3 linked regions of the Cricetulus griseus genome follow. The protein of the gene in region 1 interacts with the protein of each later gene in a pairwise test. Links are inferred from orthologs where the notes say so. Each region holds a gene or a part of one and is shown on either strand. Other genes may lie near its edges. The genes, in order: Psma3, Znf366 and Znf385c.

Evidence for each region.
Region 2: the proteins of Psma3 (region 1) and Znf366 interact in binary tests that used the Homo sapiens proteins (3 or more experiments, as listed by UniProt). The link is inferred for Cricetulus griseus from reciprocal best matches to the Homo sapiens genes PSMA3 and ZNF366.
Region 3: the proteins of Psma3 (region 1) and Znf385c interact in a two-hybrid assay, tested with the Homo sapiens proteins (2 studies listed by BioGRID). The two-hybrid records come from large-scale screens. The link is inferred for Cricetulus griseus from reciprocal best matches to the Homo sapiens genes PSMA3 and ZNF385C.

Annotation. Positions count from the first base shown.
Region 1 is NC_048598.1:132,396,802-132,400,454, reverse strand, and holds part of Psma3 (proteasome subunit alpha type-3), read left to right. Parts: intron 1-123; coding exon 124-225; intron 226-334; coding exon 335-408; intron 409-2,651; coding exon 2,652-2,724; intron 2,725-3,653. UniProt on the Homo sapiens protein: Component of the 20S core proteasome complex involved in the proteolytic degradation of most intracellular proteins. This complex plays numerous essential roles within the cell by associating with different regulatory particles.
Region 2 is NC_048595.1:317,993,794-317,997,546, forward strand, and holds the start of Znf366 (zinc finger protein 366), read left to right. Parts: upstream 1-1,195; coding exon 1,196-2,497; intron 2,498-3,753. UniProt on the Homo sapiens protein: Has transcriptional repression activity. Acts as a corepressor of ESR1; the function seems to involve CTBP1 and histone deacetylases.
Region 3 is NC_048600.1:113,683,383-113,687,035, reverse strand, and holds part of Znf385c (zinc finger protein 385C), read left to right. Parts: intron 1-1,675; coding exon 1,676-1,786; intron 1,787-3,513; coding exon 3,514-3,653.

The sequences.
Region 1 (3,653 bases):
ACATTAAAACATCAAAATGCCTTTTAAAGACCTTTTAAGCAGAGATGGTCTTTAAATGATACTTAGAGTAAATGATTTTGGTTTGATATAATACTGTCTATTAAATTGGTTCTTTTTCTCCAGGCAGTCGCAGGTCTGCTGGCAGACGCTCGTTCCTTAGCAGACATAGCAAGAGAAGAAGCATCCAACTTTAGATCTAACTTTGGCTATAACATTCCTCTAAAAGTAAGTTGATAATATGTTGAGTGATGGAAATGTATTAATTAAGTAATTAATTAACTTTTGAACAGTGATGGAAATGTATTAATAAGGTCTTTTCCCCTCATAATTACAGCATCTTGCAGACAGAGTGGCCATGTATGTACACGCTTATACACTCTACAGTGCTGTTAGACCTTTTGGTTGCAGGTATGAAATTTTGTGAGACCTTTAAGTCTTATTCATACAGTAGTTACTTTTCTCCACAAATTAGTCCCCCCGCCTTTTTTTTTTTGTTGTTCCCCAAGACAGAGTTTCTCAGCAGTATGGAACCAGTCCTGGAACTTGCTTTGTAGACCAGCCTTGAACTTAACAGAGATCCACCTGCCTCTGCTGGAAGTAAAGGCTTGGGTTGCCATGGCTCAGCTAGCCTTTTCTTAATATCTGTTCCACCTGTGTACCAGGGTTACAGACATGAACCACACTCTCTTCTGTGGATTCTGGGGGTCCAAACTCAGGTTCTTATGCTTGTACAGCAAGCACTCTGCTCACAGAGACACCTCCCCTATGCCCCAGATTAGCCCCTGAGACACCTGAAATATAAATTCTTACCAAGTAGTAGTAGGCAACCATTAAAAGTATACTTTTAAGCTGTATGTGATGGTACATGTCTGTGATTCCAGTTCTCAGGAGGCTGAGGCAAGACGATTGCCCTGAGTTCAGGGTCAGTTTAGGCTACATAGTGAGTTCCAAGCTGGGATATTTAGGGAGTCTTTCTCCAAAAATATTCTAAAAACTGTATAATGACAGGAATCATAGTCCTGGAATGATTATAATTATAATTTTAATCTAATCATAATAAATTCTCTGCAGTTATGTCCCTGATATTCAAATACTTTCTATCTTGACATGAGGTACAGCTATTTAAACACTTAAATAATGCTCCTATGTCTGTTTTCCAACAACTCATAAGCTAGTGTAGTCTGTAATCTCCATACTTGGGGGGGGGTAAGTGGGTGAGGTCAGAAGTTATTGTTAGCTACATAGTTAAGACCAACCTGGGATACAAAAGACTGTCTTGGGCTGGAGAGATGGCTCAGTCTTCCAGAGGTCCTGAGTTCAATTCCCGGCAACCACATGGTGGCTCACAACCACCTTGAATGAGAGCTGGTGCCCTCTGAAGACTGCATACATAATAAATAAATTCTTGGGAAAAAAAAAAAGTTCTCTTGGATGGCGTCTTGTTAAAAAAAAAAAAGACAGTCTCTAAGTAAAGAAAACAAAACCTACTTGGCTATGCTTAATCACAATCAAGTATCTTACTATGTAGCTGTAATCCAGCCTTTAAGTTGCTTATCAGACATATTTCAATAGAGAAATGAAATGACAGATTTATTGAAAACCTGAATCTTATTAATTACCAGTGTTAGACCCCAATAGAGCATTGTTAAAGGTTTCATTCAGATTACTCCTGAAACCTCTCTTTGACTAGAGAATGCCTTTCATCGTAATTGAGTTCCATGTTCATCAGCTCCTTTCTATGAGTAGTGGTTTCTTGGGCATGTGCCATGAATCAGTCATTAATGTGGGCACACAGATGTCACAATGATGAAACAGCCATTAGAGATGAAATGATAGGGTCTAGACATTGGTCCTGAGCACAGTGGAGCAGCAGTTAAGGAGTGGTCTGTTTTCAGAGAGGTGACAAGGAAACGTGCATGAAATACTGGGGGGATGGGTAAAGACTATCTTGTAATGGTGTGGAATGTGGGTATTTCCCGGAGTGCACAGGTAATACAAAGTTATGTAGAAGTGATACTACAGATGTGCAAAGAGACCAGTGTGTAACAGCTCCGAAGTGAAGGGTTTTTAAATGATAACCAGATTTATATTCTGAAAGAAGAATTGCATCAGTTTGAATAGGGAAAAGTGGGCATAGGTTGGATGGTTGGCTCTTACATGATGTGATAGGCTAACATAAGGCTGATTCTCTAAAAGAAATAGTTTCAGAAAATTGGTAATTCACGATCATTTACCAAACCTAATTTTAATTTGTTGAGCATATAAAATAATTGAGCCATTTCTGACCATTGCAGACTAGAGGAATACTGGGAAATGAAATGAAAGGTACATTTCACCACAGTTTGTTCCTTTCGCCTTTTCATGTGCACTCATTTGCTGTGGTTTTCTCACTACATGCCGGTCCTTACTCCTTTTGTTACATTTCTGCCAGGCCATGGTGGTGCACACCTTTAAAACATTGATAAGTCACATGGAATTTCAATACTGTAGCTTAATACTAGTTTTTATTGAAGCTGTCTTATCAAAGAACTAAACTATAAGTTATGTTTCTTACTAATTTATCAGAGAAAAATCTAATCACAGTTTCATCACAGTGGTCTTATATATAATGGTATTGAGAACCATGTTGTAAACTGTTTGTTTTTATGCAGTTTCATGTTAGGGTCTTACAGTACGAATGATGGTCCACAGCTTTATATGATTGATCCGTCGGGTGTTTCATATGTGAGTAAATTTTACATTATTTAAAATTCAATTGTAGTTAAATGGCATTTCCTTATCATTTATATCATTTGCATTGTTTCAATTTTTGTTTAACTCAGTTAAAACTGGGCATAGTGATGGAGGCCAGTAGTCCCAGCTACTTGGGGAGGAGAGGCAGGAGAATTACAAATTCAAGGCTAGCCTGGGCCATCACAAAAAGATCTTGACAGCTTACTAAAGATTAAAAGACTCAGAATAAAAGAAACACCTGGGTATAGCATAATAGTTAATGCTTGCCTACCATGAGTGAGGCCTTGTCTTCAGTCCATAGCATTTAAAGAATAAAGCCAGGTCAAGGTGGTGCATGCTTTTAATCCCAGTACTCAGGAGGCAGAGGCAGGTGGATCTCTGTGAGTTCCAGGACAGCCAGTGCACTTGCACGTAGAGACTTTGTCTTGGGGGACAGGGGAATAAATATTCAAAACTCATTTGAGGAAAGTAGTTTTTTAAATTAATGAACATATTGTTATGAAGTGGAGAACATTTAGTACTGGCTTTCAGGATGCTCTTTACAGGAACTACCTAGTAAACATTTTTTTTGAGTATGTGATTGTCTCATCATTGTATTAAGTCTTAAAACTGAATATAAACTGACGTTTTCAAGGCTTTGGGTTGGAAATCTAGCACAGGGGTGGGGACCAATTTAAAATTTAATTTACTTATTTAATTTTCATGTGTGTTTTGTCTGTATGTATGTGTATCTTGTGTGTGCTTGGAACCTGCAAAGGCCAGTAGAAGGCATTGAATCCCTTTGGAGCTGGAGTTAATGATGTTTGTAAATAGTCGTGTGGGTACTAGGAATTAAACATAACATCTGCAAGAGCAGCAAGTACTCTAAAACACTGGGCCACCTACCCAGCCCCAACTTAGATTCTTCTAGAATTAGGCTT
Region 2 (3,753 bases), on another chromosome or scaffold:
TCTGTATATTTGTAAAAATTCAATGTGTCATCAAAGGTTCTAGGAAATGAGAAGAGGCCAGCCACCTCATCCTAGGACCCTCGTCCTACACTTTTACCCACAGCCTCCAGTGGCTCCAGTTCAGCCCTTACATGTAGTCGGCCTACTGTCTCCTTGAGAGCCTCTAACAAGCAGGGAGGATATCAAAACTCAGAGGTTTTGTGTAGCAAGTACCCTCCCTGAAAAGGCAGAAGCAGCCACTGGCTTATTCTATCTGTGTCACTGTGGAAAAGAAAGAACAATGTCAAGCAGATCCATAAAAAAGAGACATGTCCCTTGGTCCAGACTTTGGTCTGCTGGTTTTTTTTAGCAGTGCCCGAGAGGGTCATCAGGGTGTAGGATCTGGCTTAGTGGGAGACATGGCAGGTTTGATAGGCTGTTCTTGACTTGAACATCTGCATGAAGGGAGAAACACAACTGTGAGTTTAGAGATTCTAACATCGGAATTTCCCCCTTGAAGTTACTTCTGATTGAGATTTAGAAATGTATGGACTGACACAATGACTTCAGAACATGCAAATGCCCACACGTTTTCTCTTCATGTCGGTCTCCTCTACTCAGCAGCTTATCTTGCTCAGAGTGGATACTCATCCACAGTACGTCTGAGCTCAGCATTGAAGTCTTCTTTTATGGTCTTTGAATATTCTAATCCAGTGCCACACAGACTCAAGCACCAGCGGCAGAAGATGGTTTTCATATGCAAGAAACTGACAGATGAAGCACATTAAAAACATCTTGGGTAGATACAACGGCAACTCAGATTGACAAACTCAACAGAATGTGGCCAGTTCTGATTCACCTGAGTAGCTGTGTGACTTGAACACATCGGTTCATCTCCAGGGCCTTGGGGCCCTCACTGTAAATAGAAGGGAGGAGAAGGGGACAACATAAGGGACAGATGAGTTTCAGACAGATCCACTCTTAGTCTCTACGGTACTGGAGGTCTGTGGTTCTTGTAGTTTACAATAGGCCCCGGAGCTCACTCTCATTGGTCGCTGAGTTTAGAAAAGCTCAGAGGGTCAATATAAACTAGTATCACTCTTTGTAAGTTAGTATTGATCCGTAACCCAAACCCTAATTCAGAAAGGAAGGTTGAAAACAAAGCAAAGCAAAACCACACAACAGTTTCTTTCTCTTTAAAGGGACCCTGTCAAGGATGCAGAAGGCAATGAAGATGGTCAAAGATGAGGATGGACCCTTCAACGCCTCCTTTCCCCACTGCCTACAGCCCGAGGCTTCCCGAGGAAAGGCTCCCCAAAGACACTCCTTCCCCGAAGCTCTCCGGGGCCCCTTTTCTCAGTTTCGATATGAACCTCCAGGAGACCTTGATGGATTCCCCGAGGTCTTCGAAGGAGGAGGGTCCCGGAAACGGAAGAGCATGCCCACAAAGATGCCTTACAACCACCCTGCGGAAGAAGCTGCAATTGCTGAGGAGAGCAAGAGCCTGGGCCCTCCGAACCTGGCTCTGCTTTTCCCGCAGCCACAGCGCCCCAAGTGCGACTCTCAGATGATCGACCTGTGCAATGTGGGCTTGCAGTTCTACCGCACCCTGGAGCACCTGGGGGGCAAACCCGTCAAGCAGGAGCCGGTGAAGCCCAGTGCCATGTGGCCTCAGCCTACACCTCCTGCCTTCCTGCCCGCTCCTTACCCCTACTACCCCAAAGTCCACCCGGGACTTATGTTCCCCTTCTTCATGCCCTCGTCCTCACCCTTCCCCTTCAGCAGGCACACCTTCCTGCCCAAGCAGCCCCCTGAGCCAGTGTTACCCCGGAAAGTGGAGCCCCTGGAAAGCGAGGAGACCAAGCAGAAGGTGGAGAGGGTGGACGTGAATGTGCAGATCGATGACAGCTACTATGTGGACGTGGGTGGGGCTCAGAAGCGCTGGCAGTGCCCCACCTGTGACAAGTCCTACACCTCCAAGTACAACCTGGTGACCCACATCCTGGGTCACAGTGGCATCAAGCCGCATGCATGCACCCGCTGCGGGAAGCTCTTCAAGCAGCTCAGCCATCTGCACACCCACATGCTGACACACCAGGGCACGCGGCCCCACAAATGCCAGGTGTGTCACAAGGCCTTCACCCAGACCAGCCACCTGAAGCGTCACATGATGCAGCACAGCGAGGTGAAGCCACACAACTGTCGTGTGTGCAGTCGGGGCTTTGCCTACCCTAGCGAGCTCAAGGCCCACGAGGCCAAACACGCCAGCGGGCGTGAGAACATTTGTGTGGAGTGCGGCCTGGACTTCCCCACCCTGGCTCAGCTGAAGAGGCATCTCACTACGCATCGTGGCCCCATCCAGTACAACTGCTCTGAGTGCGACAAGACCTTCCAGTACCCGAGTCAGCTGCAGAATCACATGATGAAACACAAAGACATCCGTCCCTACATCTGCTCCGAGTGTGGCATGGAGTTCGTGCAGCCCCATCACCTCAAGCAGCACTCGCTCACTCACAAGGTATGGGAGAGGGGCGCCAACGGAGGGGGGTTGCTGATAGACCACCAGGAAAGGAACAGAGCTGGGGACTTGTGAGTGGGGAGATCCGTGCTGCTCCTACCTAAAACGTAGAGGAGCTGTGTAGCCCTGGCCTTACTTGAGTCCTGGGGCCTTCCCCACATCACATAGCAAACAGTGAGCAACATGACCGTAGACAATCAATTAAACCCTTTCCCAGAATAGCCTTAGAGTCCAAGGTGGGACTGGAAATTACCAATGCAGACATTTGGAGAGGACATGAGGAAGAAGGAAGGAAGCAGCTGGCTGCTGTGATATTTCTGCTTAGCCCCCAAGAAGCTCTGGAATTTTGTTTCTAGAAACTTCTTTTAGGGCACCAGTGGGGGGAAAACACTTGTCATCAGATACCAGATCTGGTTTGGGCTATGCCAATGAAAGCCGCTTTCTAGAGAATTCTCTGAGAGCTCTTACCGGCTGAAGCAGGGGCTGGTTCTGTTGGCTGGTTCTGCTGTGAGACCTGCTTCCTCAGGTGGCTATAAACTGGAGCAGGGTTTGGCCTAGTCACTCAGGGCCAGCTCTTCCCTGTCAGTCTGTGGTATCCTTGTGGGAAGCAGGAGGAAGCTTCCTTCTTTGCTTGGTTTTAATTTCTCTGGGCTCAGATCTTCATGGAGAAATATAGACCCAAGGCTGGAGTTTCTGCCTCATTTGTAGCTAGTATTCTGTAAGTCATCAAGCCCAAACAGGCAAGGCCCCAGTGGCATCTTGAGAGCTTACTGCAGCTGGGCTGACTTGGGCCTGCTTTGAGATGCTAAAAGGGGACTTTTGCCCCCACTGACTTCTAGTCTCACCCTTGATCTCAGTGGTTTTCTTGGCAAGGAAGACTTCTAGGAAGCCAGTGTCTCTACTAGACCATCCTTTGTTTCCAAAAGGTCATGAGAGGACTGAGCAGCTGAGGCAACGTTGTCTCTACTCTCCTGGGTTTCATTTGTTAGGCTAGGACAAAACACGCAGCAGAGATGTGCTTCCTGCTGGACAAAGGGCACCTATAGGCACCATCTGAGGGCAGCTGCCTGCCAATCACAGGAACCACCAGCAGAGGACCTGGCCTTAGATTTGGCCACAAAGGCACCATCAGCTTAGCTCAGGGGTGCCTGTGGATGTGGAAAAGGAATCAGAGGTTATTGATTTTCAATCATATGGATTCTACAAGGCAATAGAAAATGAAGTTCGGACGGGGAAAAGAACCTGTTGTCTAACAT
Region 3 (3,653 bases), on another chromosome or scaffold:
AACTTCCTCTAAACTTGTGTCTGTGTATTTCTGTCTTATGTGCATGCACTCAGTTGTGTGGAGTGTGTGTGTGTGTGTGTGTGTGGTGTAGGAAAAATGTTGGAGTACTCCATGAGGTGTGAGGAACAGCACCCTTTTAGTTCTGAAAATCAAATAAAATCAGGATGAACTCCACTCCATCCCCAAGAGACCCACGTGGCATGCCCTCCCAGTAACCTGTAGGAGTCTCCCTCCCTTTTGTCACCTCCAGGGTTGAACACAGGTCCTGAGAAGTATGACATATTTGGGCATGGGTCTATGGGCTTCAACCCCTACTGTCATTTACAGATGTGTTCATTGCTCAAAGGCAGGTGACACCACTGTTGGCCCACTGCCAAGACCTCCCTCTAAGGTCCTGATACGGATCTGCTCTACCCTGGACACTGGCCAGGTTGGAACCTCTGTTCTCAGGGCAGTTGCTATAGCATGTTCTCCTCTCTGCCTCTGGTTTCTTCCCATGGGAAAATTTGCTAAGTTCCTTTTGACTGAACCAGACAACTTCTAGTTTGAATCCAACAGCCTAGGCCCCTAAAGCACACCATGGTGGTCCTGCCTGTGATGCCTGTGTTCTGGAGAGTAAGGTAGAAGGAATGTGTATTAATAACAACCTGGGCTATACAGTGAGTTAAAGGCCAGCCTGAGCTATGAAGTGAGACTCTGTTTAAAAACAAACAAACAAACAAAAAATCCCAAAACTTAGACCCCTGAGAAAAGACAATAGAAAAAAATGTTGAAGAGGCTTGGACTACAGTTCAGTTGGCAGAGTGCTTGCCTCATTTGCACAATGCTCTGGGTTTGATTCTCAGCACTGCATAAATCAGATGTGATAGCACTTGCCTTTAATCCCAATGCTTAGGAGGTAGAGGCAGGAGGGACAATTTAAGGTTATCCTCAGCTATAAAGTGAGATCAAGACCAGCCTAGACTACTTGAGACTATCTCAAAGACAATTGCCTGATGTTACATACCTGTAATCCAACACATGGAAGCAGAGGCAGGAAGACAGCATCCAAGGCCAGCCTAAACTAGATTAGACCTAGCCTCAAAAAATAGAAAGAAAAAATGTATGAAACTTATAACTAGGAAAAAAAGAAAACACTCAAGTTCACATTCTAAAGGGACAATCCTGCTACTTGCCGTGGGGGGGGAACGCTAAGGCCTCCCAGTGCTGTCCTGCTTGGCCACCCAACTCCCTGACCATGCTTTCACTCTCCTTAGCAGACATCAGACTCTGGACAGTAGGGCTGATGCAGTAGGGCTTCTTGTCCCCACCAGCAGGTCCAGATACAAAACCTGGGTTGGGAAAAAGGAAATCCCACCAAAAGAATCTTTGTCCCTTCCCTGTTGTAGTCTGAGCTCAACTCCTTGTCCCAATACTACGCCCTGTCAAAAAGAGAAGCCAATAACCAAGAACTAAGACCAGAAGGGCAGCAAGAGACACTAAGGTGATCCTGCAAGAGCCAGGTCACCCTGGCCATCCCCTTGTGGCCTGACAAGTTGGGTCTGCCAGGAAGAGGCTGTGCCCTTGTCGGGGTTACAGCCACAGGACAGGAGAGGTCTGGGAGGCTGAGCATGTTTGGAGCTGTACCTTTTCGGAGTATGCAGGAGGAACTAAACCCTATCATTCCCTCTCACAGATGGACCCAGTCCAGAAAGCTGTCATCAGCCACACGTTTGGGGTCCCCTCCCCTCTGAAGAAGAAGCTGTTCATCTCCTGTAACATCTGTCACCTGAGGTTCAACTCAGCGGTGAGGGGGAAGTCACAGAAATGTGGGTGGGAGGGAGCTAGGCCTCTTTCAGCTGTGCTCTGACACCCATCATCTGCTGGCCCCTCCCCTTCTCATATCCCTCCCACTCACATGTAGCATGCTGGGGTTCCATTTTCCTCCCCTCTGCTTCACACCTATCTTTTGGATGTCCCAGAGGCCATAGAGTGAGCGAGCTCCTGGTCTTGACCTGAGATGTTTACAGCATATATTCACCCCAGTGTCTTTGTTGGGGGGGGGATGGAACTTGCTACAGAAACTAGGCTGGCCTCAAGCTCACAGAGATCCACCTGCCACTGCCTCCCGAGTGCTGGTATGAAAGATGTGGACCACCACACCCAGCTCCGGTAAATTTTGATGTTGTTGTCAAGGCAGAATCTTACTATGTAGCTCTAGCAATCCTGGAACTCATTCTGTAGACCAGGATGGCTCAAGCTCACAGAGATCCACCTGCCTCTGTCTCCCGAGTGCTGGATTAAAGGTGTGCGTGACTGCACTTCATCAACTCAATGGACTCCCATGATGCATCTGTGAGAGGTACAGAGGCACAATTACCATCTCCACTTTTCTGAGGAGGACACAATCTCAGAGTGGATAAATAGCTTGCCTGAGGACACAGCTGGGAAATAGCATTGCTAGGATTTGAACCCAGTCTTGGCTGACCCTGAGGTCTGCATACTCCTACTGCAGCCTACCCTGGGAGAGAAGGATCTTTACTGTGGTTTTTGGGTTAGATGTTAAAACCACTGTGGATTGTACTCAAACAGATCGAGGAGGACCGTGGAGGCTTGTCTTTCCCACCTTTGGGAAACAGGAGTTGAGAAACCACAAGTAGAGGCTCCTAGTGAAGCAGGGAGGATGCCAATAGTCCAGCTATAGTCTTCTCTCCAGATGCTTAGGTGACATTTCATTCCACAAAAAGTAGGTAAAGAAAATCATTGGAAGGAGCATGTCTCCATCCCTAGGCCCTCGAAGAATGGCTGGGCCAACTGCAAATGCTCAATAAAAAAAATGAACAATAGGATGAATGTTTTTGGAGTACATAAGCCCAAAATATGAGTACTGCTTTGCTTTCCATATGTGTACCCCTTAACATTCAGGAGCCTCTACTTTGTAAACTGACTTACAATTCATATCCCATTTAACCTGGACAGTCACAAAGCTTAAAGCTGGGCACAGTGGTGCACACCTGTGATGCCAGCACTTAGGAGGCTGAGGTAGGAGGATCATGAGTTTAAAGCCATCCTGGACCACACGATAAGTAGTCCATTTCCAGAATATTCGGTATATACAGACACACACCAAGGGAATCACTTGGTGAATGTCCCTGGGCTCAACCCTTCTAGATCTGGGAATACACAGTAAAAGCAAACAGGGCTGGGGATGCAGTCTAGTGGAGAGCATTCACACACACACACACACACACACACACACACACACACACACACACACACACAGGAAATTCAGTGAGGTGCTGTGACTTACCTAAAGAAGCATAGTTTATAAATGGCTGAGGCTGCCTGTGCTGGAGCACCTATGAGGACACACACTGTAAACCTCAGGACCAGATGCACGTGGTAATGATGGTGACACCGACTTCACCTCTTGTGCCCATGCCTTGTGCCTCTTTAACCCTGCATCCCTCTGGCTTGTCCCTCTGCTCAACCTCACTCCCGGATGAGGCATGTGACCTCCCCTCCGTTTCCCAGAACCAGGCTGAAGCTCATTACAAGGGCCACAGACATGCCAGAAAACTCAAGGCTGTAGAAGCTGCCAAGAGCAAGCAGAAGCCTCGAAACCTGACCCCAAATGGAACAGTGGCGTCTTCAGCCTCACCTCCAGCCAATGG